5 linked regions of the Oryzias latipes genome follow. The protein of the gene in region 4 purifies or fractionates together with the protein of the main gene of each other region. This does not show direct contact. Links are inferred from orthologs where the notes say so. Each region holds a gene or a part of one and is shown on either strand. Other genes may lie near its edges.

Region 1 (6,916 bases), on a different chromosome or scaffold from region 4:
GTTATTGTATTGTGTTGTTTGTCAATAAAGTATAAAAAAAAATGTACGAGAGAGACGTTCCTGTTCCGTGCTCAGTCAATGGTTAATAAATATGCCCAGAGGAGGCTAAAGTTAAAAAAAGAAAACTAAAATTAAACGTTCATATTAAGGTGGGGGCCGCAAAATATCATCTTGGGGGCCGCAAATAGCCCGCAGGCCGCGAGTTTGAGACACCTGGTCTAGAGGCTCTAATAAGTAACTTCCTCCGACCCTAGATTTTTTTGGAGATGTTCTTTATACAGAAATGTTGGTGCGTAAACAAGATGTCAGGATGGCCGAGCGGTCTAAGGCGCTGCGTTCAGGTCGCAGTCTCCTCTGGAGGCGTGGGTTCGAATCCCACTTCTGACAAATGTCTTTTTAGGCATCACGCTTGTGCATCGCGATCTTTTAGAAGTCAGTAGTCAGTAAACATCAAAAATCTCTCCTTCATCGATGAGCCAAACATTACCAAAATAAGACTTTAGTGAACACTGTGAAAACAGCATTAGCTCGACAGCTGGCAAATAGGACATAACTTAAACGTTGGAATTTTATTTTGTAATGTAAATATAAATAATTAAAAACGCATTTTTGAAATTACTTCTTCAAACAAGAGGAAACAATGTTGTAGTTAGTCTTACCCAATGCTGGCCGTTTTTTTATTTCAAATTTAACTTTATTGTTCCAATGGTAAAGCTTCAGTTACTGATGGCATTCAAGTCTTATTCCTCTGAAAATGTTGGTTCGAACCCCACTTAGATGAGTCATGGACCGTAGTGAGTGTTCAGAAGAACAGTTTAAAATGTACCCCCCAATTCTCTCCCTGCTGTGTCCCTGGGGCCAATGCTAATACTGATGCTATATCACGTCTTTACATTTTTTAATTTATATTGTGTATATAACTTTTTTTTTTTAATGGACAGCAATCCATCTAGGAATCCTTGGTGGAGAAGGGAATGACAGCACCTGTGATTCATTTGCTGCATCTTTTCCTGTTTCACCACCTACCTACCCTTTAGCTGTAATAAAGATTGGAAGATTTGATGAGATCCCTCCCTGCCTCTGTCCCTATGGTCCACCGGCTCTCCTTCTCACTTTGTGATTCTTTTTGTTAAAAGAGCTTTACAAACTTTGCTTGGTTGTTCCTTGGTGTAGTTTTTTTAAATTTTTATTTTCAATCAACACAATAAATCCAGTTCCCTGTTCCGCTCCTAATAAGCGGTTTGGACAGACAACCACACAAAAGCACTAAAAGGGGTTCTCCTGGGACAAGAAGGTTCTGTTGGGAATCAATTTTGCGTGGACTCTGACTCGAAGGTGGTCTTGCAGGTCTGAGCTGGCAGTACGAGTGGGCGGTGTTCGGGATAAGCTCACTGATGATGGATTTGAGTTTCTGCCCATAGGTACCCGAAGGAGCAGAGCACAGATACAGTTTTCTTATCAACATGTGCTGGATTTTCCACAGACCGGATAGAATCAGACACACAAACAGCATCTTGTGTGCCTTTAAAGTACATCAAGATTCTGCTGGGTGGTGGGTGGATTAAATGTTCTGTGATTTTTCTGGTCCCGGTGGAACGTGAACCACGCTGCCTCTGTTAAGGAGAGTTCTGGAGGTCTCAGGTCCAGCTGCTGGTCCTGGTCTTAGTACTGGAAGCTCCTCTTGGTCTGAATGTCATCCAGGATCTGTTGCAGCTCTTCATCCTCAAAGCGACCCTCCAGACTGAGAAAAGAAGCAGAACCCGGCAGAACTTTATTCTCTCAACGATGAATTATTTGATAAGAATTGTAACAACATCACCTGCAAAACGATCCATATCTCAGTAAGATACAGTGGTGGACAAAATTGTTGACAGACTGACTGATTATGAGTTTGAAGACAGCTATGATGTCAATTTAAGGACATACCTGAGTTCATCATGACCCCCTGGGCAATTAGTTCTCAGTCTGTTATGGAGGTACCATCATTTTTGGCCAACCCTATTTCATTAGCTTTTTTTTTTTTTTAAATAATTCTGTCAATCAACAAATTAAAAAGCTGATTTTGATTATTTCATTTTCATTAAATTTTAATTTATTGTTACTTTTGAACATTTCAAGTCATTTTAGTGAGAATTCTGGAATTTGTTTCTATAACTGATGGGTACCAACAATTTTGTCCACCACTGTATATTTTCACAAAAATAATGATCACTAAACAATCTAAAATAACTTATCTGCTATTTTTTAATGCATAATAATTTCAACAAGAAACCAATTCCTGACAAGTAAGAACAGCATAAAACTACATGTCTGTGATGAATTGATCCAAAATGTTTTCTGATCCAGTTTAGGATAATCTCTCAGGTTTTCTCTTTGAATTAATTCAATTAAAGCTGCACACGTCTGCCCTTAATGTAAAATAGTGTTACTTCGACATTACTAAATAAATCTCCTTGGCATCCAGACTAACTTATACTTTTACTCAATTTACTGAAAGTGTTAAAATAAAATAAAAAGTCAAGCCTCCCAAAAATCCTAAAATCACTAAGGTGTTCAGAATAATCTGATGTCAGGTGAATCTTTTCACAGATTGGTTAACGAAGACCCTGTAATTTATGGGTGAAAAGAACAAGTCCGGTTCAGTCCAGACTCACCTGGGGGTCAGAGCTTTAGCCTCCTCTGCAGCTTCAGGACACAGATTCGCCAAACTGGCCAGCTCAAATTTATGGAGCTTCTTCTGCAGGAGGAGACTGAGACAGACAGAAAGGCCATTAGGACCCAGATCAGGGCCAGGACCTGGGACCAGAAGGGGCATCCTTACCTGCGCACGGCAGTGATGGTCTCGCGGTTCTTGAAGCGGCTGAAGCGGGCCGTGTAGTTGAGAGTCTTCATGAAGACCTCGGACAACTCCTGTTCGTCCTCGGCGCTCTCGTTCTGCTGCTTCCTGTGCTCCAGCAGCATGTGGACCTCCGAGTTCAGCAGCGTCTCAGAGTTCTCAAACTCTGCAGACAGCAGGAGGGGGCTGGTTAGTCACTGAATTTGAGCTCAGATTCTACAGAATATCAGCTCCAGAACCATTTTGATTGAAAGACAGAAGGATTCCTGCAGTGATTGTGGACTGGAATTTAAGGCCTGTTTCAAGAAGTAGGACAAAAATCCTGCTGATCAAAGTCAGCCTGTACTATTTTAGGAAGCTTGTTGAGTCTCAGACCTTCCAGGACAGCAATCCATGTAAATTTAAACTTATAGTTTACTCTCAGCAAACAAACAAATAATTCTATCTTGATCAGTGGACCAAACATCATGATGATCACAATACATGTGTGTCAGTGAGAGAAACATTTAACCAGTACAGATGATGATGGTCGTATAATGAAAATATTCAGATTCAAATCGGTGATGCAGCTTACATAAATTAATAATCAGGGGATGATTATCCTCATCGGTCACATATAGCAACGTAATTGTTTCCAATACAGGTTACACTGTAACCTAACAAAAAGTTTCGGAAGTAAACAGTATTTGTGCGCGCCACCTTTGGGAAACAGCAACTGTGACGCGTCTTCTTCGACGTCTCCCACGTGCGAGGAAACCGAGCTTCCAGCGGCAGTCATGTCGAGTCACAGTCACGGGTCGCAGAGGCGCGCAGTACCGATGAGCTCCGTCAGCTTCTCTCGGAGACTACGGTGAGAACGTTAACTGTGCAGAGAACAACGGCGCTCGGGGAACTTCCGGTCACAACACCGATCTACTTCCGGTGATATTCTTCCTCTGCTTTCTTCTGGTTTAGGCGGGTGTCATCTAGCAATAATGGTGCGCTTCTGCTACCTACTGTCCTGGAAGATGAAGTGTAGGAACTCCCCTCAAACACAACGATAGAACTGTTCAGTCATATATGCCCTTGTAATAAATAATTTATTTCCTTGTAAATAAATGTTAAAGTTAAAGATTTAAAGAAAACAATTGTATTTTTGTGTTGAAATTGCTTGTTGATTGCATGTACTTTGAATCTTTTTGGGGATGAGTTTCATTTGTGGTGTTCAAATTCCTCTGTTCAAGTCTCATTAAAAAAGAACAACATTCTTTTTGGTGTAATTTCACATAACAGTCTGTTAAATTTAGTTTAAAATATTTTAACAATCAAAAGCAAATTTTATATTCATAAAAGTAAATTATTAAAAACCAAACCACTGTTTAATGTGTTTCTTAAGTAGATTTGTTTAATTCATGAAAAGTAAAAAAGCAAGAAAATGTTTCAACTTTTTTAAAGGCATTAAATTATATCAAAACTCTTCATATTTAGGTGTTTTTTAGTTGACTCTGTCTTTGTTTTGCTTTCTTGTGTCTTTATTTGATGATCTATCTCATTTTTTGTTCTAAATGTTCTAACTGTTTTACATTTATGTTTACAGGTTCCTAACTTAACATTTGTAGTGTTCAATAATAAAAGACCATGTGAGCTCGCCATAGCATAGACCTGCTGAGATTTTTGGTCCCTGATATTCATTTTAACTTTATTCATCTTTTCCCCTCTCTTTTGAATTTCTTACTGATATGTTTGTCAGTGTTATTTATATCATATAAAATTTGTATTTTTTTTAACCATGTGACCTTTAAAATACAAACCTTTATTTTATAACTAAAAATGTTCTTTATCCGCATTATTAGTTTTCAACAGTTTCAATTGCTTCTTGTATTTCCATGTAGGTACATTATCTTGCTGTGACTGGTCTTTATTCCTCTCTAGATGCTTCTCTACCTGCTCCTTGCAGGTCATAAGGTCATATGCAGACTTTATTTAGTCTTACTTTATTTATTTATTTATTTAGTCTTACTTTAGTCTTTATACTCCACCTGAAGTTGCCACACGTTTTTTTTCACAGCTACACTGGTAGCAAACACTTCTGAAACTCTGTAAACTTGAGAATGAATCTGTAGCAACTATTATTTTCTCACCTTTTGTAATCTCCTGCAACTCCACCAGGTGGCGTGGTGATTCAAATTTCAGAACGGTAGGGTTGGAATGTGTGTGAGGTTTTTACATTTTGTGTGTCCATTGTTTTTTCCAAGACCTTCAGGTTCCTGAAGGGGTTCAAAGCATGTTTTATTGGTAAATTAGGTACTCTACTCTAAAATTGTCCCTTAAGAAGTTTGAATAGACTTCTGATGGTCTAGTAAAGTGCTTAGAGTTATGTTGTTTATGCCCTGAAGTAACTGGAATGGACTCCATGCCCCCGTAGTCCTGCTCAGGACTATGGGGGCATGGAAGATATGTCTTTGTAAATTCCAGACACAGTTGTTCTTCAGTGGGCCCTTTGGAAAAATGTTGCATTTAATTCACTTGTGTTTCATTCTTTATGTTATTACTCTAACAAAGCTCGTTTGTAAAATGCTAAATTATTTGTACAAAACTTCAATAAGTTTTAATAACGTCATTGTTCCTCAGCAACAAATATTGAAAGAACATTGAAAGACCTTGAAAAGTTGCAATTTAATTGCATCCTCAGTGAATAACTCAAAGGATGTTTCGGGTATTTCTTCTTCCCGGCCCCTTACTCAGTCGACCCAACCAGTGGTGATCAGTCCCCATTTTCTATCTAAGCAGCATGTTATGTCATGGCTCCTCTTCATGAGCCACTTTGAAGCTTTTTTAGCTTCTCCTCTTATGTTTCTGGTGGACCCTCTCTGCAGCCACCCATGATGTCAAGAAGCCTGTAAGCCTTTTATACAGATTACCCTAAAACAGGAGTCTGCAACCAAAAGAGCCATTTGAGCCTGTTCATTACTTATCAAAATCTACTCAAAGCCACAAAGTCCTATTTTAACCTGTAGGAAAATTTGATAGTGCTTTGCATTTATTCATTTTTGTTATAGATGTGAATTTACATTTATTTTCCTGGCATGAAGAGCAACTAATGTTTTCTCACAATGTCAAATTGCTTTTTGCTTTTGACAGAAGGTAGGCAGTATGACTTCCTTTTAAAATAAAAGGCTTCCTTAAAACGAAAGGTTTTAAACAAGGCGAGACAAAAACAGCTTTTTCTTTTGTTATTTCCCATATGTCTACTTTGGGGAGCCATCATCTTTTTTCTACTTACTACTGTTCTTGACCTGAACATAAACATGAATTCATTGTTTTCTTGATCCAGTAGAAAAAGTATATAAAGCAAAGATTAGACTTTTTACCAAAATTTGCTCAGTATTTGAAATTTGTGTATTCAGGAGGACGCACAGAGCGAACAAGGCCTCTTCATGTCAGCAGGAATGTGGAAATCTCCACATACTTTATCTTAATTCTAGGTGCACCTCAGCCATAAAAGTATAAACTAATTCAAAGTAAACCAAAGCTAGTGCAATAAAGGCCCACCGACGACTCTGACGAAGACGGAAGAACTCCGGCGAAACATGTCAGGCAGGTGGAAAAAACACAACCGCGTCTAATAAATAAACCAATGCTAATTAAGTAACCCTTTTTTATTCTATTTTCTTTTCCATCTGCCAGAGAGCGACAACGGGGGCAAAAGAGCTACATGTGGTTTAGCAGCCTCAGGTTAGACTGAGACCTTAGAAAAACCCACGGAACCACTTCTATTAGCTCACGACAAGCCCTCTCCACCCACACCTCAATTAGCTTAAGCTATCCATGAACCTCCTCTATCTGATTTTCCCAAGGGACCGTGAATTCTACTTGCCTTGTAAAATCTGACATCAGGAGTGTCAGGTATGTCATTTCAATGTTTTATGGCAGTGGTTCCGAAACTTTTTCTGCAGGGCCCCCCTTTCTGAAGATTAGAATATTTTCGAGCCCCCCCCCACACTGACACAAACATACAAATCCTTTGTTTCTAAACTCCACCGCGCCTTATAACATGTGGTTACTGAGAGATCTTTCTCTGAACGGCAGAATTCTGTTATC
Region 2 (6,921 bases), on a different chromosome or scaffold from region 4:
TATGGCCCGCGGGCCGTATGTTTGACACCCCTGGTGTAAAGGTTTGGGGGGCTCCCGTCAACCTGTGGTTCTTCAGCCCCCCCTGGAGGTCTCTAACTGATATGTCTGAGCCAACCACATGGAAACCACGACGCTCTCCTGGGCTTTCTCTTATTCTTTGAGGATAATGAGTAGGGTCGGTGCTGCTCTGTGGGACGTTCATGCAGGACTCGGGCCTCCTCAAGTCTCATGATGATGGGGAGCAGGAATGGAAGGCTGCAGCGCGCAGGATGATCTGGAATGGACGAGAACGGTGCATATGTGCAGGTCACCCACCTGAATGTCTTCACCAAGTCGTTCAGGTCTGTGGAGACATCACTCAGGGTGAGGTGCAGCGGGCCTACGATGGTCCTGAGGCTGCAGATGACAGGAGCAGATTGGTTATGGAGCAAAGCAGCAGGCAGGCAGGCGGCTGGACAAATGTCCGGACTTCTATAATAAATATAATATGATCAAACGTCACAGGAGTCTGGACTCCTGTGAAACAGAAGATGTTTGGGGGAGGCAGAGGTTTAGATGAAGACGTTCATGTCTGACACATCTGCACGCACCAGCTGCTGAGCTTCTCCACGGTGATGCGTTTCTGGATCAGATGCTGAGCCTGGGAGTCCACGAGCGGCAGGACCGGTTCCTTCAGGTTCTGCTGTGAAGAACAAACCAGGACTATTTCAACTTGCTCTCAGCATTTTATTTGACTGAACAGAGGTCTGATGGGAGGTCCACAGGGACCCCCCCCCCTCACCTGGTTAGCACTCGGCTCCTCCACAGGAATAACCCAGGTCCCCTTGTAGAACTCCTTGACTCTCAGCTCCATCTGTTGGGTCAGCCTCTGCAGCGTCTCATAGTCTCCTTCTGTCCCCCACAGCTTCTTCTCCCCGCTATCGTCCGTCAATATCACGTCATCTGCATCATCATCTTCATCCAACTCCCCCTCTTCCTTTCTGTTATGATGACGGGGGGCAGGTGAGCAGGCGGCTCCGTGCAGGAACCTGATGGTGTGATCGGTGCACCAGGCTTTCAGAGTCCTCCTCAGGGTCTCCAGGAGGCTCGCTGGCTCCCGTTTGGCTCCCGTGCAGCTCTGCCTCCCCAGCAGAGCCCGCAGCCCTGCAGCTCCTCGCCTGCTCATGCCCACCTGGGTGATGTGGAGGCCCGGCAGGGGGGCTGCTGCTGTCTCATGAAGAGTGCACTCCCTCATCTGAGCTGTTACCTCTTCCAGTTGGGGGCGCTCAGGTGAGTCCTGTGGCTCAGCCTTGCTTGTGATGGGACCGAGCAGCTGTGGGGGTTCAGGATGCGGCCCCCTCGTGTCCTCCTGTGGAAGGCGACTCAGACATTCAGTCCCGTCCGTCCCCTCCTCTCCTTGGCTCCCGTTCTTGCTTTCACCCGTGCGGTCAGCCCAGTGAACCCGGGGTTTCTGCTGCTGGAAGGCCACACTGGAGACAAAGTCCTGCTCCCCACCGCTGCTCTCATCTCCAGCCGAGCTTTGATGATCCCCGCATGGCTCAGCGGGGGCGGCAGCTTGTGGTTTCTCAACGTCTTCCTCTTTGAGGCGCTGATCTGACAGCAGCACCTCCTCTCCGGAGCTCCCACTGGACACACACATGCAACACGTTACGCTCACTCCTGCAGAGGGACGTGCGGCCGCGGGCGCCGAGCACACACCTCTGTCCTGCCGTCAGCAGCCTGATCTTCGGGGGACTGTTGGCAAGAGAGAATTTTTACAAAGACACTCCACCCGAACGTCGAGTCTTACAAAGGCGGAGCAGTTCACAGACCTCTCCAACTTCCTGAGCCACAGAGGCGTCTTTGGGATCTGCAGCTCAAACTCTTTGGAGGCCTTGTAGCAGAAATTACTGCAGAAACGCTAAAGATGACAAATGAGGTCACCTCTTCTGTCTTCAAACTGCGACTGCACTGACAAAGTTCGTTCTTCTTCTGGGAAGAAACTCACCTTGCGCTCTGTGATGTCATAAACTCTGTTCGTCTTGGTAGAGATTTTGAACTGCTGAGACGGGATCTGCAAAGCAGGCAGCAGCGGTTAGACGAGGAAACCCAGACAGGAGCGTCAGCATTACCCTCAGTGGAGGGGCGACGTCTTACTTTGCCCAGCTGCTTTGGACATGTTGGATAACCACACAGCTTTAAGATGGACCGCTCCTCCACAGCATCTCTGTAATTAGCTGGAGTGATGAACTTGGCCTGAACAGAAAATGAGCCTGTGTGTTAAAACCCTTCTTAACCTGACTGACAACAGGTTGACCTCTTTATTAGTGTTTTCTTGTAAATTTCTACCTCAAAGTTTTCCCCATTAGCTTGTGCAAAATTCATTTTCTTTCTGTGCATTTTATCAATTACTTGAAACAATTATTTCCTTATAAAGATCTTTAATAAATGTATCATTAGACAGAATTTTCAAGAATTATACAAAAAAAAAAACCTAAAAGGATTAAGTTGAATTTAACAACTATCTGTCTGTTACATCTTTAAGTTGTTTTGTGTCTTTCTGCTGTAGTTTGCAGTGTTTGATGGTTTGTGGTCTGGAAACCTGGTAATGTTTGTGGGCGTGGCCTTTTCAGCTGGTTTCCCTCGCAACCCAGATCAAAGTGAAGGTGTTATCTAAAGATGGAGATGTTCATACCGACTCCAGGAGGAAGTCTTCTGCCACGCTGCTCTCCAGGAGCTGCTCCACCACCTCCAGGGCTCTCCTCTCCAGCTCCAGCTGCTCCCTCAGCGCATCCTTCCTGGCTCAGGGAAGGAGACGGATTCATTCAAACTGCGCTGCCTACACTGGATCATAAACCTGAGAAGAAAGCCTTCCAAACCTTCTTCTGGCTTCTTCTTCGGCGGTCAGAGTTTTGCTGCGTCTCCCTGCTGTCACACAAACACGAGATTTCACCAGGACATAGACGGAGCCCAGTTCAGTTCATCTGCTAATAAAATACCAAACACGTCCGTCCAAACTACTCAAACCAAACCTTTTCTGGACGTTTTCCCGGGATTCTTCATCTTCCCCTCCGTCGCCATGACACTTCCAGTTCAACTTTGACCTGTGACGCAGTTTTTCTACGGCAGCCGGGGTGGTTCAAACACGCAGCGTTCAGGTCGCGTGCAACAGCAGGAGAGAAGGTAGGTTCTCACTTTCCGCGCGTCTGTTCGTTTTCTGCTTCCAAGAGGAGTTTAATGCGAACGTTTGTTCACGAAAACCCGAGACAGCAGTCCGAGAACGAGCTAACCAATGCCGGCCTGCTTCTGTGAGGGCCGAGGCGGTGCCGCCCCGGTTCTGTAGTGTGTGGACCGAGGCGGTGCCGCGCCGGTTCTGAACTCAAACATCAGCTGCAGTCATGGTCGCCGTTCTGTTCTCTCAGCTGGCTGTCTTCTCTCTCTCATTGGAGGAGCTATTCTTTGTAGGAATGCCAATCCAACAGCCCTCCTCATTAGTTAAACCCTGATGTCCCACCGCACAGAGTTTTGGGTAATTGAGTTTATAGAGGATGGACGTTTTCAGGCTGTTTCTGTGTGCAGGCTGCACTCTGCAGAGGAACTTCATGGTTTTGCTCACGTCGTTACGTCCTTCAAAGGCAAACGTTTGTTTAATTTCCTTAACAGACGTGACATGTTTGTAGGTTTATGTTGTAACATGACACCTCTAGACTACAGTTTCACGAAGCGAATCTCTCTCTTCTTGTCTGAATAAGTAATATCTCACAAAAAACGTGTTCTTTGTAAATGTTAAAATTTTGAACTGCAGAATGATTCAAACGTTTTAAACTTTAAACAGTCAAATCAGAGAAAGCACAGTTTGGTCAGCAGAATTGGTACATTCTTAATGTAATGGAAGTAGATGAATGTTTACTGCTGGTATAAAACTAGAACTTCATAACTGAAAGACCTGCAACATCGATGATCTATGGAGCCTACAGTCTAGACCAGGAGTCAGCAAACTACTGAACTATTAAATCTGACCCTCCAAACTGGAATAAGTGATATTGATAACCCTCAGGATTGTTTTCATTTCCCTGTAGTTCTGGTGTCTCCCTATAGATTCTGCACTTTTAGGTGTGGAAAGTTATTCTGCATTGGTGTGGTGCTGGAGGATTTGTGCATTTTCCAAGTCAGGAAGGCATTTTTCCGAACATTCCAGCACCACATGAACGCAGCGTTTCTCTGAGTTTGTGTTTTTTCGCTGAGGGACATCATATGTGGAAATGGCACCAAAATAAAAAAAAACAAAAAAAAAAACTCAAACGTTCTGTTTTCAAATATGCATATTCCTTTTTCAAAGTTCAAGCATGTTTTCATCCAAATTCCTTGTTATTTCTTGGATGATGAAATGACTCCTCCCATCTGCTCCTGGTTCTCGCTGTCACATCGTTGACCTCTTTGTGGCCCCCCCGGTCAAAAGGTTTGCCCTCCCCTGATCTAGACACACTTCTCTGTATGATCTCCATGGTTTCTACTTTGCTTCCAGCACAGATGGTGACAGTAAGTCATCAGTACAGACATAGAAAAACATCATCATCATCATCATCATCATCAGGACACTCTGATCTGAACTGTTGTTTTTGAAGGACTTCCAGGAAGGACAGACTCTGTCCAAACGGGACTGATGGCTCTGGAGCGATTCAGCAATGTGGTCCAGCTGTGTGTGAGTGTCCACTTTCTTTATTTTATGGTTTTGTTTTCTTGAAATATCCCATGAGCAGCCAGGACAGAAGGTTCAAAGTTAAAGCCTGTGTCCTTTCTGTGTCAGCATCTTCTGGAGGAAAGGAGCAGCTGCAGATTTAATATGAGCAAACCTGTGTGACCGTTTAGGAAAGAGTTCCTGAGAATTCGGATCGATCGTCTCACATGGGCCATATTCTTGTGTTCTGTACCTTTCATCATTTGAGGACACGTTTGGAGTGAAGGAATCTCATCTCCAAGAGTCAAGTCCAGATCCGTCATAACACTGGAACTTTTTGGACACATTTTTAGATTTTTGTTCAGCCTCTTTCTGTGAGACACACAGAAGAAACCTGCTGGATGTTATGCAACTGTAAGACAACATCAGCAGCATTCATGTTTTACATGATACGGAGTCCGTGTCCTGACATGAATCAAATAAAATGTATCTCGTTCCCACAAGTTAATATATTGTTCCCACAAAATAATATTCTGTTCGCACGAATTAATTAATTTGTGCGAACGAAAGAATTATTTACGTCATAAGTCATTCATAAACACGGGTTCCTGCTTCGCCTACCGGACTTAGCTTCATAAACACGGATGTGAACAATAGTTGGATTGACAGCAGATACCTTCACATTTCTGTCTGTGTGTGTCTTACATCGCATTGAGGACACGGAGGATGTTTAGAGATCAGTTTTGTTTATTTTGAAAAGCACAAAAGCATTGGTAATCACGTTCATTCACATCCTGGTGGTACACTCTCCGTCCATCCAGCTGCAAAAGCCGCTTTCTGCTGCTACTTCTGTGTCTCTGTGACCTACATTCGTTTAAGAGGGGAAAAAAAACAAGAATGATCCATCTATTATTGTCTCGATGAAAATCAGAAAAATATCATAAGATTTTGGATGCCAAAGCTTCCTGCTTCACCTACCAGACATAGCTCCTAAATCCGCAGCAGAGCTCTTCTGCTTGTCATGGCGGCATTCGGGCAGCTGACTGGCCATCTACCGGCCAGCCAGCTGCTGTATGGGATATTGTAGTTTAGGGTCGAATAGAAATAATAACATGCAGGACTGGTCTGTTATTAACACACTTTAGCAGTCGCTTTAAATCTGAAGGCTAGTAGGCTACGTGCTACGTAACCAATCGTGCTCAAAGGACCAAATGTGAGGAAACTGGAAATTGTAAACAGGACTGTAAAATAGTTAAATTAGGTTCGTACCCTTCAATTTCCTGCACACAGAAATGAATGAATAATGACTCAGAGACAGTTACTTATCTTTTGTGGAAGTTTTACTTCGTACAAACACGAAAGGGACAGACAGATGAACATGGTGCATCCAAAGTCTGAACAACGGAGCTCAGAGATGGGCTTGGTATATAAACCCTGTATTTGCATATTCAGAAGATCATACACTGGACAATGGTGTGAAAATCACGCCCACAGGTTGCTGCTGGAAAGAAGCTCCAAGGTTGCAATGGAGTTATCTCTGAGGCATCACACACACACACAGAAAAAGGGAGTATGAGAAGAAACTGTGAGAAAAATAGCTTGGCTGTGCTGTCTTCAAATGTAATATAATTTTGAGATGATAATACATAATGAATCAAGTTTAAACCATTAGTGTAATAAAAGTAAAAGTTAGTGTAATAAAAAGTAAAAGGGAGTTTCTAACTATTCTGTTTCTCATTATTCTTAACAGTGATGCATGATGGGATACATGTAGCCTACTAGCCTTCGGATGTAAAGTGACTGCTAACGAGTATGATGCTTTTGTAGAGCTTTTTAAAATAAATAAATCTGATCTCTAAACATCCTCTGAGTCTTCAATGTAATGAGACACGCGCAGACAGAAATGTGAAAGTATCTGCTGTGAATCCAACTATTACTCACATCCGTGTTTATGGAGCTAAGTCCGTTAGGCGAAGCAGCGATCCATGTTTATGACTTATTCATTCATTCATTCATTCATTTATTTTCTAGTCCGTTTTTTCCTTTCGGGGTCATGGGCTGCTGGAGCCTATCCCGGCCACTTGTGGGCGAAGGCAGGGGACATCCTGGACTGGTCGCCAGTCTGTCGCAGGGTAGAACGTCCACAAACACACAACCATTCACTCTCAAACCTAGGGACAATTTAGAGTTGCCAATTAACCTATGAAGCATGTTTTTGGACGGTGGGAGGAAGCCGGAGATCCCGGAGAGAACCCACGCATGCA
Region 3 (5,432 bases), on a different chromosome or scaffold from region 4:
ACTTCAGCTTCAGAGACAGAGCCTGGGTCAGACTCCTCACTATAACTCTAGGATTGAGACCGTCCGAGCAAGAGCAGTGCGAGACCGGGTGCAGGTTTGCTGCAAGTATGATTAAGAAGATGTCACCGTCGGAGAATGACTTCGACATTCCAGCCAAGAATTGTCACAGGATGGTGATCCTGGGCTCCACTAAAGTTGGGAAGACAGCCATCATCTCTCGGTTTCTGAATGAGAGATTTGATGACCAATACACACCCACCATTGAAGATTTCCACCGGAAATTTTACAGCATTAGAGGGGACGTTTACCAGTTGGACATCCTGGACACATCTGGAAACCACCCCTTCCCTGCAATGAGGAGGCTTTCAATTCTCACTGGTGAGTTCAGCTTGAAACTTGCACATTATGCTTCTAGGATAGAGGAAATATTTCCCGGCAACACTGGTTTTGTTCAGCTCTAAAACGCACGTTTCCTCTGTTCTTCCAGGTGATGTTTTCATCTTAGTGTTCAGCCTGGACAACAGAGATTCCTTTCAAGAGGTGCAGCGCCTGAAGCGCCAAATCCACGAGACCAAGTCATGCCTGCGAAACAAAACTAAGGAGAACGTGGACGTCCCGCTGGTCATCTGCGGCAACAAGTGCGACAGAGACTTTTACCGGGAGGTGCAGGACGAGGAGATTGAGCAGCTGGTTGGTGGAGATGAACAGTGCGCATACTTTGAAATCTCAGCGAAGAAGAACACCAACGTCGACCAGATGTTTCAGACTCTCTTTACCATGGCCAAGCTGCCAAACGAAATGAGTCCTGATCGGCACTGCAAAGTTTCCCTGCAGTACTGCGACGTTCTCCACAGAAAGTCTTTCAGAAGCAAGAAGTGCAAAGATGGGAACGCATATGGGATTGTGGCACCGTTCGCACGAAGACCAAGCGTGCACAGTGACTTGATGTACATAAAGGAGAAAGCCATCGGCGGCGGCCACGCCAAAGAAAAGGGCTGCGTAATTTGCTGACCATTTCTACGAGCGCAAAAAACTTTGTCCCCATGTGACTATGCGCAGCGCGTCTGCGACAAACTTTAGGCACTCTTGTCCAATATGAGCCAAGACATGTAGTGAAATCGATGCTCTGAAAATGCTGTAAATCTGTTTCTACATTTTGCTTTCTATGCGCAGCACTAGAAGGTGAAAACCAAGTTTACATGTTGCCTTTTTTTCAAACTTGAATGTTTGCTGCAGAATGAACAAATGAACTCCATGTGTATATTTATTATGTCCTTGTCCACTTTTGCATAAAGAGAAAATAAAAAATAAAAAACTTGATACTTTCATAGTCTGTTCTCAGTCCCACTCTCCAATTTCTCGCATAAAACAAACACTTTAAGAATTATATATACGTTTTCATTCTGCTGTTCGAATGAAAATACATGTTTATAACACATCATTTATTGAGACATTCTGAAATTAAATGGACTTATATATAAAAAGAGCTAACAGCCTGAATAATTATTCATTAGGACTCCATTGTTTGCACAAATGATAACCATGGCACAATAACAGAGAAGGAAAACAATTAGACTAGGAGGCAGTGCAGCACATATAATTAGAGGCTATTTAGTAGATATCAACAGATGTAATATTTGGCCCATTAGAGACAATATCATTTATGATTAAAATCAAACTTTGTTTAGAGAAAAATGCTGATTCACATTAAATTAGATTTACTTTGCATGTTGTGAAAAGGAACTACATAAAGTTATGTGAAAGTGTGTGCCGTGGCAAATGCTTTCCTTTATTTAAAAACCTTTTAGATTCAGACTAAATGGTCTGCTCAATAAAGCATCAAAGCCCTTATACATTTATTATTAATAATAATAATAATAATAATAATAATGAAAACAAGTAAAACACTATAGCACGATTTAATTTATTAAAAATAGAGATTTACAACTTGAAATAATAACAGATACTTCAGAAACAGAGCAGATCATTCACACTGATGCAAACAAAAAAGAAAAACAAAAGTCCCATTTTTCATTTCAGGTTTTTTTTTAAATGGTAAACCGTAGAAATAAACGTCTTTGCTCAAGTCTCCAGTTTGTAGTCTGTTGTCTCACGACGCCTTAGGCACATCAAACATGCACAGTCCCTTGTACTTCTGCAGCAGCTGGTTCTTGGTGCGGACCTGCTCCCGCAGCGTGGCCAGCTGCTGCTGCTGCTCCGGCGGACTGCAGTCTATCCCAGACATGTTAGAGATCTGCTCCCGGGTTTCTTGGATCTTTGTTTTTAGTTTTGTCAGCTCCTGGTTGACATCCGGGCTGTCCTTATCCATGCTAAGCAGAAACATAAATAAATAAATAAATACATAAATAACAGACTTCTATTAAAGGCAAAACTGCACCCATGATGGGAAGCGTTCACGTCACTTCTCATATAGCAAACCGTAAATACCCCCAACGAGAGTTTACCGTGAACCATTTAGTAAATACCAACATATACGTAAACCCAGCACACAGGAAACAGCTTACCATTTGATAATGTCGTGAACTAAGGGCAGCAAAGAGCAGTCTTCGGTCTCCTTCACGAGCTTAGCCTGAGCTACCGCCATTGCTACTCCTTCTGCAACTGGCGCAGGCTGATGACGTCACAGGTTACTCCGAGAATCTCAACTGAAATCACAACTTTAAAAAAGTTCAATTGATGTTGAACAACAACAACAACAACAATGATTATAGATGAATGAGTGAATGATTGATTGAATGAATAAATGAATGAATGAATGAATGAATGAATACTCTAGTTATCAAAAGTATGAAAAAAATGATTACCTTGAGATGGTAAGTCATATAAGTCATGGTATGATTCCCAAACTATTAAAAAGTCTTGACACAAAACAAGAAATAACAAAGAAAAATTTGCTGTAATAAATTTCAAACACAAGAAAAAAGATCTAAAAGATTTGGGACTGATTTCTTTCTGATAAAGCCCTTGCAATTCTCGTGGCATGTCATCATTTTGCTCAGAATAGGTCCCAGACCTATTCCAAGGTTGCTCGGGCATCAAGTCCGGGTGCCTCCTGTACGCCTCTCTGGGGAGGTGTTGCGGGCATGTCCCACTATGCGGAGGCCCCGGGGAAGACCCAGGACACGCTGGAGAAACTACGTCTCTCGGCTGGCCTGGGAACACCTTGGGGTCCCTCCCAGAAGAGCTGGAGGAAGTAGCAGGGGCGAGGGAAGTCTGGGCATCTTTGCTTAGACTGCCCCCGTGACCCAGTCCCGGTAAAGCAGAGTAAGATGGATGGATGGATGGATGGAGGTCACAGACCATTTGTCAATGCACATAATAAACACATGACCTAGGACTTGGAATGACCTTGGCTACACGTCTTGCTACTTGGTAACCTGAAGTACTGACATCGAAAGTCAACACAAGACATGCTTGAGAACTGAAAAATGGGGAGCTGTGTAAACACTAGAGCTCATAGCAAGCACAAATATAGTCTCACGGTGCGTCACGCAATTTGTCTGTTTGGAAGATAAATGAAGTGTTTCATTCAGGTCGTGCATCTCTGTCTGGAAACCCTTTTTCCTTTTCTGTTTACACAGTGCGTCCTTGTTGATTGGGGATACAATATTTAGTATGTAGAAAATAAAACAAAATAATGAAAAGCTTACTTCCTGGTTATTTTCTAAAGCCCTGTTTGGCAATACATTAGGCAACACGGAGAATTAAAATGGCTAATTTGCTCAATTCTTTGTTAGTACAAGTGACTACACGATTATGCATGTGTAGCAATGACGATTCTCCTGTTTGATGTTGAATTATGTGTTTTATTTTTAAATGTATTCTTTTTAGCCCAAATAACTCATGTTTACATCCATTTCACATGAAATCAAGTTTGACCTCTTGATGCAGCGAACATCCCATGAGTTCATTACTCACACCTGGTGAACACAGAAAGGGAAAAACTCAGTCTCCCCTGGAGAAGATAGAATGCCAACGTGACACAGGCAGTGAGCATTAAATTAAGTGTGAGGCTTTTACCCAGAGGTGTGACAAAGAATGGATATCTAAATGAGTGGCGCCACTGACTGTAAAAGTAAGGATTTCCATTTCGACTTGATTGGGAGGTTTTGCACAAACTAAACAGAATATATTAGTAACCTCAAATTGACGTTTTCAGAGCATTTTACAATGTAAACTATCACAGTGTAAACTATCAAATCTTGGATCATTTTGACGGATCTGGTCATTGCATCACACATATCAAACCAATTTGAAAAGAGAATATCGCTGTTTTTATATGCTGATGAGCTGAACCTCACTTTTGAGGCAGCGAAGGAGCTTGCATAATTATTTTTAGATTTAGTAATAATTTAAATCCAGTTTTGAACATTAGCCAGGATTTGCAGAAATCACTTTTAGAGCGACATACAGTAAATGCCGTTGCAGTAGCTGGGATTGTCTCCCTTGCAGTCAAATATGACTTTTAAAACTAAAATTGCAGCAAGGATTTAAATAAAAAAAATAGTTTTTTTTCTTCAAAATCCTGTTGAAATGTTTTGTTTTTGTTTAATTAGTTGCAGATATATTGAAATAGGTGTGTTTTTCTTCTTTTTACATTGCAAAATATGTGAAAAGTTGAATACATTTGGCAACATATAAAAGGATAGTTTCACTTTACACTTTTTTAGATTTTCCTTAATTTAAAAAAATAAAATATAACCTAATAATGAAAACACATCAGATTTTGAGGGATAATTCTTTGTTGAATTGTGGATCATTTTACAATTTTTATTAATAAAAACAACGCTTTGACCATTGCTGGTTCAAAATTTAGCCCACAGAATTTCCCTTTTATGGACAAAGATGAACTACTTGCCTTTTCCTGGAAAACTTCTTCCATAAACTCAGTAGAAAATGCAACGACTGCCAAGAGAGTTCTAGTGCGACTCTTTGGCTGGGTCATATCCGAACACTTCCTTTTGAACTTCTCCATAACACCCCCCAAATGGTTAGGTTTACCCCGCCCGCTCTCTGCAATGACGTAAAGAAGACAGCTGACAGTTTCCAACAGATGGGTCACATCCTAGCATCCTTGGTGGAAAGCTGGTGGGATGCAGATGCCCTGTCTGCTGATCTGTTGGCTAATCATAGCACACTTATATCGGTCTGACACTATTTTTTTCCAAACAAGCTGGCTGTATTTCCAAACATTAGGCTTGAAAAAAAGATACCACTTTAACTTAATCTTGCAAAACTAATTTATATCAGACAAAATACATTTCCCCTGAATGTGAATCTCCATTTTTTTTTTAGTTTGTTTGTGAAGTTTTCAGAAACATTATTTGTCTATCTTATAGAAAAGTTAGAAATTGTACATTTTTTACTTCATTTTCAATCATTGTTGCCTTATATTCTCTGTTAGTTTAAAT
Region 4 (5,494 bases):
TCTACCAAGACCAAAGAGGACCAGATTGTAGGCCTGAACAAGACTGGAATGAACTAATCTGCAATTAGAAAACGGCTTGATGAGAAGGAATCAACTGCTGGAGCAAATACTAGAAAATGGAAGAAATACAAGATTACTGACAATTTCCCTCCACCTGGAGCTCCAGCAAAGATCTCACCTGGTGGAGAACCAATGATCGGTGAGGAAAACAGCCCACAACTACACTTGGGAACTGGTCAATGGCCCGGAAAGAGCTAACAAAGGTTACTGTAGTAACACACTATGTTATCATGGATTCAGATCCCGTAGTTCTTTGAAGGTCCTCCTGCTTAAACCAGCACAAGTCCAGAACCGCCTCAAGTTCTCCAGAGACCTTCTGGATGATCCACAGGAGGATAGGGAGAAGGTCGTGTGATCAGAAACCGAAATGGAACACTCTTTGGCACGAACGTCACTCTGTAGTTAGAAGAATGCCGAGTGCCATCCCAAGAGCGTTAGACTCACTGTGAAGCATGGGGGTGTAAACATCATGGTTTGGGGCTGTTTTCCTGCAAAGGACACAGAACGACTGATCCACAGAAGGAAAGGATGAATGGATTCATGAATGGAGAGATTTTGGGCAAAAACCTCCTTCCTTCCACAACGTTGAGCCTACGTGCTCCACTGTAACAATGATCCCAAACACGTCACCATGGCAACCAAGGAGCGTCTCCATATAAAGCATCTCAAGGTTGTGTAGTGTTCCATTTGATCAGTTCCATTAAGCTCAGAATCGGGTTGATTTACATGATTACTTTGAGCTCGGAGGGTTCAGGTTGTTTTTTCGCCGTACGTTTTATTTTGAAAGTCTTGTGGTAACATGGTTACAGGACAATCCTGATTATGTGCTTCTGCGATGACAGAATGCTAAGAAGGGAACAAAGTCGGAATTAATTTCCTGATTTTTCTTTTCTTTTTCTTTTCCGGGAAGCTCTGACTTCTTTTTGTTCAACAAGACAGCGGGGATGTGACTGACCTTATCTGTAGAGTTGTAAAAGTTAATAAGAGATCCAATCAACAGATCAAATAATCTAGTCTTTTCTGAATTCTTGAAATTGTAGATCAAAGCAGAAAGCACAGCACCTGTAAATGTAGAAGATTCCTTTATAGCACTGAGGCCCCCGGGGGCCTCAGTGCTATAAAGGAATCTTCTACATTTACAGGCTGATCTTCTGATGGACCCCTCCTCCCAGTCCTGAGGCTCCTTATCCTCCAGGACTTCCAGAGTTCGCTCAACCGATGGCGCCTCGTCTCTCATAAGGACATGAAGGGCAGCTGCCTCGTCCTGACCACAAACTGAACCCCCAGGCCACAGCTGAAGCGGCCCACCTGCAGAGACACGCACCGGGCCCAAACCCGTTTCATGATGGGCTGTGATATAAGGAGACGGAGGCGTGTGTGGTTAAAATGAAGAAGTGCTGCCACTCAGATCAAAACGGTGTTTTTAACATCTTCGTGAGGCTTTTTTCTCATGATGGAGAACGTGCATTTAGAAAATTAGTGTTTCTTTATAAAACTCGTGACGTAGAAAAGAAGCTGGGCGGGGCCACAAGCTCCCAGCTCCGCTCCATTCTGATGGACTCAGTTGAACGGATCCATGAACGACCTTGTTTTCCTCGTCTGAGCTGGAATCTGGGTCTAAGCTGCACGGCTGGACAGCTACGATGTTGCTCGCCGCTAATCGTCACCGCTAATGCTAGGTTGTAGGCTAGCGGGGGAGAGTGTAAACAGGTGGGTGACGGGAAGAGGGGGGGTTGCTCCACTCCAACAGTCCATCCAACGGCTCAAAGGTGAATTTCTAATGAACTCCTGCCACTCTGGAGAAACTATGTCCTTGAAAACGAGACAGTTTTTTCATTTTATTTTGGCTAAAACAGCATTATCATAATTAAAAGACCACTAGGAACACTTTGAAGTAGATCAAAAGATTAGTGGGACTTTAAACACCAGATTAACCAAATTAAATGAGTTTTTTTATTAAAGACTTTACCCTCGTGACAAACCACAAATAAAAAAACAACACACACTGTTATAAATATACAAAAGAAAACTGACAAAACATACAAAAGCAGGGGTTTGCAAGTTGAAATGTAGGTCTGACAGCAAAGCGAGACTTTGAGGGTTTCATTCCGTATCCTGTCACTCCTATTTTCACCCCTGTTTTCCATCGTTCCTTCCCAGTCCTCCATGCAGGGAAAACCCTTCAATCCGACCCAGTCAGGACTCGGCCGGCGACGGCTGGCCATTCGCTCCGCTGCGAGTGCGCAGCTGAGACTGGGCGATGTCTGCCAGCGCGTGCTGGATCCTCTTCAACAGCATGTCGCCGCGGAAAACCACCTCCTCCAGACGAGCGGCCGCCTCGTGGTTCTCCTCCTCCAGCTGCCGCAGACTGGCTGCCTGGCGACGGGTCACATGGTCCATTCAGAAAAACACATATTTACAACAGACTTCATGCTGATCCAGTGTTACCCTTGTGCTATCTTGTGGGGTCCAGATGACCCCGCCCTTACATTGACTCTGCGCCAGATTGACTCAATTGAGTGTTTTAAAGCTCAAGTTAAGACAATTTTATTCAGGAGAGCTTTTAGCTGACTTTTACTTGTGTTCACTTCTGCCTGTTTGTTTACTTCTATGCCTGTGTGTGTTTTATTGGGTATTGCTACTGATTTTATATTGTTTTAACATTGTGAAGCACTTTGTGAGTCGCTCTCTGTGAAAAGTGCTATATAAATAAAGAGTTATTTTACTTTACTTACATTGGCGTGTTCTCCCTACCATGACAAAGGTGGATAAAGGTGGAAAGATTTCATGTAATCCATGGACACCAGTGAAGATCACAAATCATTGAAGAAAAAAGGTTCAGCGCACTGTCTAGTGGGTCTAGATGACCCAACTCCCAATGTTAACGTGCCTAACATTGGGAGTTGGGTCATCTAGACCCCAAAAGACAGCACAAGGGGATGTGTGCTCTGTCATCAGACCATAGAAAAACTATTAAACAAAGACTTCTCCTTATAGATGTGTCAACATGTCTGAAGAAATGTTTTTATGTACTTTAATACCTAAAAAGAAGGAAAAGCGTATAAGAGAGCATGCCAAGTCTAGTCTAAGAACAGAATTCTCAGTAAAAACTTGTCCCAGTGAGTCGATATTTTATAGTAGCAATCTTGAGTCTATGCAGCTGTATCATTTACCATGAGAATGACTTTGATCAGTCTAATTGATAGGAGCCGGTTGATTTCATCTACTGACAGCAGGAACCTTTCCAGATTTTGCTCTGGCTCCCTCTGCTGTCTGGAAGCTGTAAACGCTCCAAACTTTTCCCCCTGACTTGCTGCTGGTGGTTCCTGGAGTTTGTGGCTCAGTGAGGAAGTGTGGGTGCGTGACCATGCTGACCTGCAGAGCCGCCGTGGACTCCTCGCTGGGCAGAGAGTCGATGAGAACGTCCACATCTTTGGCGGTTCTGGCTATGAGAGCCGCAAACAGCTGAGCGTATTCTAAAAATAAAAAAAGAGGAAGAAAAGTCACTGTAGAGAAGGTAATGTTACGTTATTTCTGGTATTTTAACGCTTCAGCTTTCACTGAATAGAGGATTCCTCTCACACACTTAAGAAATTTGTGCAGTTTTATTTATGAAAGTCAGATTTTCTTTTTTTTCTTAAAGTCTGGACAGTTACTCAGTAACAAAGTATGTATCTCATTAGTCACCATTTATGTTTCGTCAAATTTGTATCATTTATTTTTAAATATGGACAGTCGTATTAGAAAATCATCAGTATATGGTAATAATTCCATAAATTACGACACTTATCTGAACAGTTACTTATTTGTTTACTCCTACATTGAGTGAAGTCTTTGGATTACTACTTTTAGACATTCCATAGTATTATTAGGAAACAATAACTTCTCTTACAGTCTTTTGCAAAAGTATTCCCTCCCTTGGATGTTTGTCCCTTTAGTCGCTTTCATAAACCCCCCTTGGTCTATAAAATGTGTCTTTCCTCACACCAAATTCTCTATGGGATCTAGGTCTGGGCTTTGACTCGCCCACTCCAGAACATTTCCCCGGTTCTTTTGAAACCATTCCTGTGTAGCTTCTGCCGTTTGCTACCTGGAGAACAAATCTCCTCCCAAGCCGTAGTTCTCTTGCAGACCGATAAAGATTGTCCTCAAAGATTTCAGTGTATTTTGCAGCATTTGTTCTGCCCTCCATCTTTACACGCCTTCTGCTGAGAAACATCCCCACAGCATGATGCTGCCACCACCATGCTTCACAGTGGGGAAGGTGTATTTTGGATGGGTTGCGTCGTGTCTGATGGCCAAAAAGCTCAATTTTTGGTCTCATCAGACCAAAGTATCTTCTTCCACCTGGTCATGGAGTCTTCCACATGCCTTTTGGTGAACTTTGTGGCTTTCTTGTTGCCCGTCTCCCATAAAGCGTTGGTCGGTAAAGAACCCTAAATGCACCGTCTCAGCATCCTGAGCAGCAGCTTGTAACTCCTTCAAATTAGTCGTAGGGTCTTGGTGGGTGGGGTCTCGGTGGCGTCTGTCACAAGGCTCCTCCTTGTACGGTCACTCAGTTTATGAGGGCGGCCTGATCTAGGGAGAGTCCCACATGTGCCACATACCTTCCATTTCTGGATGGATTTCACTAAACTCCAGGGATGTTCAATGCCTTGGAAATGTTTTTGTATCCACCCCCTGACTTTTACCTTTCAACAACCCTTTCTCTGAGCTGCTTGGAGTGTTTCTCTGTCTTCACGGGGAAATGGTAGCCAGGAATACCGCTCCACCAGTACCTGGACCCTCCATAGGCTGGTTTGGGACACAACCACACCACTCGGGTGATCTTCATTTCACTAATTGTGAGACTATTGGGACTAATTGGATGGACTTCAACTGAATTAGACCATTACATTTAAAAGGGGGGTGAATAATTATGCAAACAATTATATTTCATTAGATATTACTTTGTAGAAATCTGTTTGAAGGTTCTTTTCTAGCAAATGTTTGTGTGAGGAAAGACAAATGTTATTGACCACGAGTGATTTATGAAAGCAACTAAAGGGACAAGCATTCAAGGGGGTGAATACTGTTGCAAGGCCCTGTGTGTAACGACAGCCTTCATGCTCAAATGTTTGAGCAAAAAACGTAAATTAAGTGAGTCTTTCTGGACCCTAACCCACACCAACAACACGCCGCTCTACCTCGCCTGTTTCTGAACAGAAAGGTGTCACTATTCTGCGCAGTCTCTAGAAAGCATCGCTACTTTACACATTTTGAACGTTTGGCAGAGCATGGGACACTTTAGTGACCTTCTCACTTAACACTATAGTAGACCTTATTGTCATATATGTACTGAAATGTCTTTTTCATATGGAGCATATGTGTCAAACTCAAGGCCCGCGGGCCAAATGTGGCCCTCCAAGTTTAATAGTTGGCCCCCCGAAAGCAT
Region 5 (7,051 bases), on a different chromosome or scaffold from region 4:
CGGTCCAGTTGGTCATGGTGGTAGGGGTTGCTAGTCTTGATGTCCTCCTGGCGACAGTGGAATATGGGTTCAGATGTCAGCAGCTCCGCGAAAATGCAGCCAATTGCCCAAATGTCTAGCAGAAAAAAGGGAACAAATGGATCCATGATTCATGGTTTCGCCTAAAACGGTCACAAAGCTTTAGAGAAGACTATCTCACCGATGGCTTTGGTGTAGTGCCGGGCTCCCAGCAGCAGTTCAGGTGCTCTGTACCAGAAAGTGACTACCACGGGGTCCAGGTCGGCTAAAGGCTTCAGCGGTGAATTGAAAAGACGAGCAAACCCCATATCGGCTGCACAACAGGCATGTTTTGAGTAAAATTAAAAGGAAGTCTTAACCATTGTAGGCAATTTGTAAATGTCCAGTGATGCATACCGATCTTTACTCTGCCCCTCTCAGGCCCTTCTCCCATCACTAAAATATTAGCAGGTTTCTAAATAGGGCAATAAAAAAAACAATAAGTTACAGTAAAATTTGAACAAGATAAGCAACAGCAACTGTCTCTTTTTTGTTGTTGTTTAGTCCAATTTGTGAACTTGACTTTCACTGTAAAAGTAAATGCATTAAACAAAAACTATTTGTTGCTGCCCTCTAGTGGACAAAATCAAAACTTCATAAGCTGTATTAGCTTTTTTTGTAAATTAAGCTCAGGTGCTATATTTTCTGAGAAAAACAAAAGGAGAAATATTATATGAAAAGAAGCCTATATCAGTTAAAGAAGGTCAGCACTATTTAGCATTTTAAAGGATAAGTGGTAATTTGCACTAAACCCACGCTGTTTTTACATTTAATCCATTTTTTTTTCTTTACTTTGGTTTTTTTCTTTCTATTTTAGCTAAAAAACCTTCACCCTCCTAAACCCCAATCCTCTTACAAGGTCTCTGTGTAGGACCCAGTTGGCATGGAGGTAATGGATGCCATCCAGAATCTGGTAGAGCAGAGACTTCACCATTCCTCTGGGAAGCTGAAGCGGCTTCTTGTTGGCCTTGGATGCTCTGTGAAACTTTATAATGTGCTACGGGAAGACAAGAAAACAGCAGCTGTACCATGAATGAGCACATTTACCAAAATGGACTCTTTTCTACAGATCCACACACTGACATGTGTGTTCTACAGGCAATATGGTTTAAGCATGTGTTTCCACTTCTGTGGAGGGGGAATGCAAGTGTTGCAGCTCTGCGGCAGTAAAAGGTATTTCACTTACATTCTCTGCCAGTCGTAACTGCTTACTTAAATGGAAAAGGGTTTAACTACCAAAAAGCAAAGTAATTCTTCTCATGACACCAACAGACTGGAGTGTTGTTGTTTTTTTCTTTCTGAAGTGTGAAGCATCAAAGGGGCGCATTCCCGCGTGTAGAGAAAAATCTTCAAAGTACTGACGTGCAGTGTAATTTATGTAACATATCGTTGAGCATAGGTGGGGATTTGTTACTTGTGAAAAAAGTTAAAGTAGAAAAACATCGTATTGGCTCTCCCCTCGCACAGCAGTAGTGTGATTGATGAGTAGTGCAGTTCCAGTGTGTGTTTCCATTTTACCCAGAGATCATGCTCCGCATAGTCAAAGAGCAGCCATACTTTACGGTCCGCGTGTGACAGGAAAACCTTCTGCAGGGAGATGACATTGGGGTGCTTCAGCTCCCGCAGCAGCTGCAACATAAAACCCTTCAGCTCCATGGCATAAATCAGGAACGACAAAAACACACAGACCAGAAACATTTCCGAAAATAAAACGAAAATCAGGTATTACCTGCACGATCTACCAAAAGCAGATAAACCTTACAATTAATGAATGCCTATAAAGTGTTTGAGTTAGCCTGTAAGTTCAAAACATTTTGAACGCGCCACAAACATACATAAAATATTCCAAACACCTTCCAGCTTTTGTTTACCTGACGACCAAGAAATATTCTGATAGATTTGACAGATGGGAGCCTGTTTATGGAGTAAAGTCAGAGTCAGCATGGCTGTGATAAACTGCAGGCAGGAGCTGTGCGTTTGTTAATCCCAGCACTCTCTGGTTGCAATTTTAGACAATAAAACTACCAGGCAGAAAGTATTGCATGTTTGAGGTGATCTTCAGCAATTACTATGGCCTCAGAAAAAAAATGTAGTTGCCAAACATTCCCTGAGCTTGGTGCTTCTAGAACAGTTCTTTCGGTACTTGAACAAGCCTCTGACCTGCAAAGACGATAAATAAATAATCTGGCAACAACCAAAGTGAGAGAATGCCAACCCAGACTTTCGATTTTTGAACACAAATATGATTTTCAGTGCTGGTAAGCAGCGAGTAAATGATCTTTAAGGGGTTTTGTTCAACTTAAATTAATAATTTCCTTTTTCATGTCTGACTATTCCACCAGTATCCAGCATGTACAGGAAGAATGATGGGTAACTAGCTGCTAAATGTAATGTTAAAAGTCACAAATGGCTTTTTGAGATGGGGTGGAGCGAGCTAAACAAGCATTTTATGCAAAGCCTGCTTCATTTTCTTTGTCCTTGTTGAAAACAGCTAATCTTTATTTAAATCACAAGAAAAAAAAACATTTTGGTGTTCTATCCCTTTAAGTTTAGACGTAAAAGGATTCAAGGGACAGAAAGCTGCTAATATGGTCAGATGTCACACTAAGGACATATTGTAGTGCATTTTGAAACATTTTAATCCAATAAACACAAATGTCCTTTCAATGAAATATCTTAATTTGTCTTATTTAAAGTTTAGGATGATTATGAACTTATTTTACAAATGAATAAATGCAATAAACCAATTTTGGTTTCATTTAATGAGTGGTTAAAACAAAAATATTCTAAATGAAAAGAATGGCATAAATGTATTAACCAGTGGGAAAAAGCCCTTACTGCAATCTCTCTGCAGGCTGACATGGAGATGCCAGTGCCTTCTATCTGCTTGAGGGCGTAGTCTTTATCATCCTTCCTAAAAACAGAAAAATCCAGCACATCAACACCAGGCCAGACAGCAGGCCCCCAGAAAGCTCTATGCACAGAAAACAAAAATAAAGGACGGGAGGGGGGCACTTGGCAGCTGGTGTGGGGAGCTGGTGAAGAGGCTGAGCTGCATTACCTCCAGATTTGTGTAATCAAGCTCACCTCTGAGGCTCTAAACAATAAAGGGGGAGAGGAAACAGGCGGTTTCTGGCAGCTGGGAGGGACAAACAGAGCTCTGGGACTGGCTCACTCTTGAATATCGTTCCTCCTCTTGGCCTAAATTATCTTATAAATCCACACTTTGTAGTTGGAAAGATTCTGCAGCCCACGGTGTCTCATAAACAACAGTAACACAAACATCTCAAAGCTTCTTTCTATGGTTCTGCTGTCCAGATTTTCTCCTTTAGGGTAATGCGCCTTGTGTGGGCCAGGAAGTTGCTGCTTTAACCCAGGTTAGGGCCAGATAAAGCTAGGGACCACATCGGAAAGTTGCACTTTAAAAGCTCAAGTGTTGCTTTAACATTAACAACATAAATAACAAATCCCAGTGTCACTACTAGAAAAAATATGTCCCCTAAAAAATAATTATTATTGAAGCTTAATTTCCTGTCTAAATATTAGTTTAAAAAACTGATCTCAGACACATCTATACTGCCAATAAACCTTTATTTCCACTGGAAAATCATAATCAAATTCATAATTAAATGTGTGTGGATTATGATAAACAAGACCTGAGAACCACAATAAGTACAATATCAATTTAATTAGATCTAACCTTAACTAATACAATTTAATGATGCTCACACAGAACCAACCACAAAGCTGCATGCAATGGTTGCAAATATATTCCTGCTAAATTAGCCTCCCATCCATGAGAGAAAATGTCACTCCTCATTTAAGCTAGTAGTGCTGCTACACAAAGCTTCCTCAGCATCCTAGTGTGGGCTTTTTAACACTCTGCTATTGCTGTTTTTGTCTGCAGCACGCTTCCTCCACCGCGAAAGGGGGCAAACTAAAGTGGTTTAAATGGAGCGGGAGGGGGCTGGCGCAGGGTTCAGCGGCTGGAGGCCTTGTTGGTCATCAACTCACCCATCTTTTCTCTTCGCCTTGTACACATGACCGTAGGTGCCTCTTCCCACTTTGCATCCTTCGTACTCAAACAGGTCCTCGACGCGCTCTCGTTCACCGGTCAGCTTCAGTTTAAAGTCATAGTCCATTTTTCACCACTTCAGAGGCTGAATGTCTGCGTTTCTTCCTTTCTTTTTAAAGCGTCGCTAGGGAGGCAACTAGGCTCCTTGACTCAACGAGCTCGGTTTTTGGTTATTTCAGCTAGTTGCCTTCCCAGCGGGTCCCTTTCTTTCTTCAGCTCAGCTTCCACATCGAGGTTTGGGCTCGAAAATAACCTTCCGATGGGTAAGCGCGGAGATTGGCAATTATCCGTGCTGAAAAAGGCCCGATTTTACAATTTCCTTTCTGTTGTTTCTGCGTTTCTCTCAGCCGGTATCTTCTCCAAAGAGACGCAATTCAGTCTGTAGCCACGGCGTAATCGTGCCAGCCATTGTCGCAAAGTGTCGTAAAGACAGCCCCTGCAGCAGAGAAAGGAGAATGGCAGAGATACACAACCACGTGGATATTCGCACTTAAATAAATAAATAAATAAATCAGTACGTGGGTGAACAACAAACAAATAAAGCCGAGGAAGGTTTTTCAGATATTCTTTCTTTTATTATGCAGTCACTTGCCAGTGTTTAGTTTTTACAGTTCAACAAATAGTAATCTTTAAAAGTAATTATTGATAAATCCTAAAAACAAACATAAAAGAAAACAAGTATTTAAATACATAAAACCTCTATAAGAGAAAAAACGTGAAATGGTACATAAATAAGGCTATTTACATACACACCGAAATGCCATGAGAAGTCACAATTTTCTATTTAAACAAACAAGCAAAAAAAAGAATACAATACCTAGAATTATCCTCGTTAATCTAATGTCTCCCTGTATGCATACACATTTTTTGATTGACTGGAGTACAATTTCTAACAGTAGCAACAACAAAAAAAAATATATTTGAAAGTTGTCTGTCTTTTAATATATTTTTATATATAATATATAATTATATAATATATATATATAATATTTTTACTATATTATAATGTATGTTTTGTAATGCATACGCCATCCCCGTTTTTTTCAACATAATTGTTCTATTTAATCTCAATTTTTGTTGTATTTTGCATATTAATTCTAAAAATAAAAATAAAAAGACAGCATTTAGTTTGCTGCTGACGAAGGATGTCAGTTGGTGCATACAGTAGACTAAAAGAAAAAAAAACATGTTTAATCTTTTAATCAATGTTAGAAGCAAATTTACCAGTCAATAATATCACAAGGAACTTAAAAAAAGATTACAAACAAACAAAGAAATAAACAAAAAGCTGTGTTTGTAGGAACTAAGGGTTAAGGAATTTTGTTTCCGGCGAGCAGAGTCATGTAGCACCGCTGGTCCCATCTTGGTCGGAGAGAAAGGGGAAAGCGGAGAGAACCTTCCATTACAGCTGCTTTGTCAGGTACTTCTCTAAAGCAAATGTTACTGACACTACTTCCTAATGTGGTTTCCATTTATCTATAAAGATAGATCATATGTGCAATATCCGGCGAACTTGTTGTAACAGCATATGTGGTGCGTTATGAGGTTTTGCCTCTCAGCTAAACGGCTGTCGACTTCAGTGCTGCTACTACTAGCTGACGTTATATCACTAGCATGCTAGTTAGCAGTTGACGCGTTGCTTGTTTAAATCAACATTGTAGCGTCTTGAAGTAAATATAGAACAAACAGCCTCGTTAAAGTGTTGTCGTACGTGTATTCCCAGTATAATATCTTAATCGTTTTATTGTTTAGTGCTGTTCACGACTTTGTGTTTCCTTCCTTGTCCTGCGTTTACATGGAGTAGATCTCCGTTTAATAGGTTTCATTTTCCGCCTCTGTCGCACGGTGATTGGTTACTTGACCTGCCACTAAAACCAAACAGGGGCGGTGATTGGTTAAGAGTCAGCTGAACAACATGATTTGGACATGGCCTTTTGGGGATACTATTCATGGTTATTATTTATGTATACTCGCTCACAGGCATTTGATCAGTGATTTATGCAAATTATAGCTGGGCCTTTACAGCAGAACATATATGACTATACCTTTTTTCCACAAATGTTAATACTACTGTGCTGTCCATATTGCTTAGTCCTATACACAAATGATTTTGCTATTAGTGTTGAACCTTGAATACTCTTGTAAATTAAGTAGAAATTATAACAAGTATTAGAGAGGCAAGTTTATTTTATGCACAAAAAAGACCTTTTAGAAAAGCATTGACAAGAATCACAGTTAGGATAGTATGGCCACAAAACAGTAAAATTATAAAGTATAATTAAAATTTGTTTAGACAAGAATAAAACAGAAGAATATAGACTGATGGTCACGAACTAATGTTGTCTGATTGGAAGCATGTCTAACTTCATTAGAATAAATGTTCCACATTTTTGTGAACTGAAGTGAAATGTTGCTTCACCGTGTCCATTTCTCTGACACCCTTCCACATGGGCCTTCCAGCACTCTTCTTTGTTATGGACCCTCCCAGTGGGGGAGATGAACGGCAGAGGCAGGCAGAGCGTCTTCGACGGGAGGAAGCATATTATCACTTCATAAATGAATTGAGTGAAGACGAGTACCGCCTCATGAGAGATGGTAACCTGCTGGGCACCCCTGGTGAGGATTGGCATACACATTACATGGACTCTGGGTTGTCAGTTGAGTTGCATGCTGTGATCTTTCAATGTAATTTTTATGACAGTGTGACATAGATTTAATTAAACTCTTTATTTAATTTTTTCCACTTATTTTTAGCAACACATTCTTTTTAACACCTGCTTTTAAAAAGCTTTTTATGCTCAAAAGTCATTGGTAAATTTTCTTTGAATTACAATGTTTAATGGAAATGTTTGCAAATAAACTGAATTTGTTTTATGACTGAGATGCAGATATTTTAGTACGGATACAATTTTACAGTTA

The links.
Region 1: the proteins of med21 (region 4) and polr2d purify together in Homo sapiens (affinity purification with mass spectrometry; 4 studies listed by BioGRID and IntAct, with this or other methods). This does not show direct contact. The link is inferred for Oryzias latipes from reciprocal best matches to the Homo sapiens genes MED21 and POLR2D.
Region 2: the proteins of med21 (region 4) and rpap2 purify together in Homo sapiens (affinity purification with mass spectrometry; 3 studies listed by BioGRID and IntAct, with this or other methods). This does not show direct contact. The link is inferred for Oryzias latipes from reciprocal best matches to the Homo sapiens genes MED21 and RPAP2.
Region 3: the proteins of med21 (region 4) and med9 purify together in Homo sapiens (co-immunoprecipitation; 8 studies listed by BioGRID and IntAct, counting the BioPlex papers as one, with this or other methods). This does not show direct contact. The link is inferred for Oryzias latipes from reciprocal best matches to the Homo sapiens genes MED21 and MED9.
Region 5: the proteins of med21 (region 4) and cdk8 purify together in Homo sapiens (affinity purification with mass spectrometry; 14 studies listed by BioGRID and IntAct, counting the BioPlex papers as one, with this or other methods). This does not show direct contact. The link is inferred for Oryzias latipes from reciprocal best matches to the Homo sapiens genes MED21 and CDK8.

Annotation. Positions count from the first base shown.
Region 1 is NC_019878.2:10,413,574-10,420,489, forward strand, and holds polr2d (DNA-directed RNA polymerase II subunit RPB4), read right to left. Parts: upstream 3,751-6,916; 5' UTR 3,615-3,750; coding exon 3,536-3,614; intron 3,003-3,535; coding exon 2,822-3,002; intron 2,751-2,821; coding exon 2,655-2,750; intron 1,742-2,654; coding exon 1,663-1,741; 3' UTR 1,158-1,662; downstream 1-1,157. UniProt on the Homo sapiens protein: Core component of RNA polymerase II (Pol II), a DNA-dependent RNA polymerase which synthesizes mRNA precursors and many functional non-coding RNAs using the four ribonucleoside triphosphates as substrates.
Region 2 is NC_019875.2:5,933,080-5,940,000, reverse strand, and holds the start of rpap2 (putative RNA polymerase II subunit B1 CTD phosphatase RPAP2), read right to left. Parts: upstream 3,772-6,921; 5' UTR 3,061-3,771; coding exon 3,012-3,060; intron 2,908-3,011; coding exon 2,859-2,907; intron 2,778-2,858; coding exon 2,675-2,777; intron 2,236-2,674; coding exon 2,137-2,235; intron 2,054-2,136; coding exon 1,988-2,053; intron 1,901-1,987; coding exon 1,812-1,900; intron 1,735-1,811; coding exon 1,699-1,734; intron 1,626-1,698; coding exon 782-1,625; intron 683-781; coding exon 591-682; intron 397-590; coding exon 316-396; intron 1-315. Other genes in the region: glmn (glomulin), read left to right, coding at 4,643-4,681.
Region 3 is NC_019866.2:10,873,579-10,879,010, reverse strand, and holds med9 (mediator of RNA polymerase II transcription subunit 9), read right to left. Parts: upstream 2,658-5,432; 5' UTR 2,606-2,657; coding exon 2,526-2,605; intron 2,331-2,525; coding exon 2,111-2,330; 3' UTR 1,906-2,110; downstream 1-1,905. Other genes in the region: rasd1 (dexamethasone-induced Ras-related protein 1), read left to right, coding at 108-378, 488-1,011.
Region 4 is NC_019881.2:3,902,115-3,907,608, forward strand, and holds the end of med21 (mediator of RNA polymerase II transcription subunit 21), read right to left. Parts: intron 3,537-5,494; coding exon 3,436-3,536; intron 2,437-3,435; coding exon 2,257-2,436; 3' UTR 1,991-2,256; downstream 1-1,990. UniProt on the Homo sapiens protein: Component of the Mediator complex, a coactivator involved in the regulated transcription of nearly all RNA polymerase II-dependent genes.
Region 5 is NC_019878.2:17,540,449-17,547,499, forward strand, and holds the start of cdk8 (cyclin-dependent kinase 8), read right to left. Parts: upstream 4,594-7,051; 5' UTR 4,200-4,593; coding exon 4,072-4,199; intron 2,972-4,071; coding exon 2,896-2,971; intron 1,687-2,895; coding exon 1,576-1,686; intron 1,055-1,575; coding exon 914-1,054; intron 473-913; coding exon 415-472; intron 332-414; coding exon 200-331; intron 116-199; coding exon 1-115. Other genes in the region: E3 ubiquitin-protein ligase RNF6, read left to right, coding at 6,607-6,748.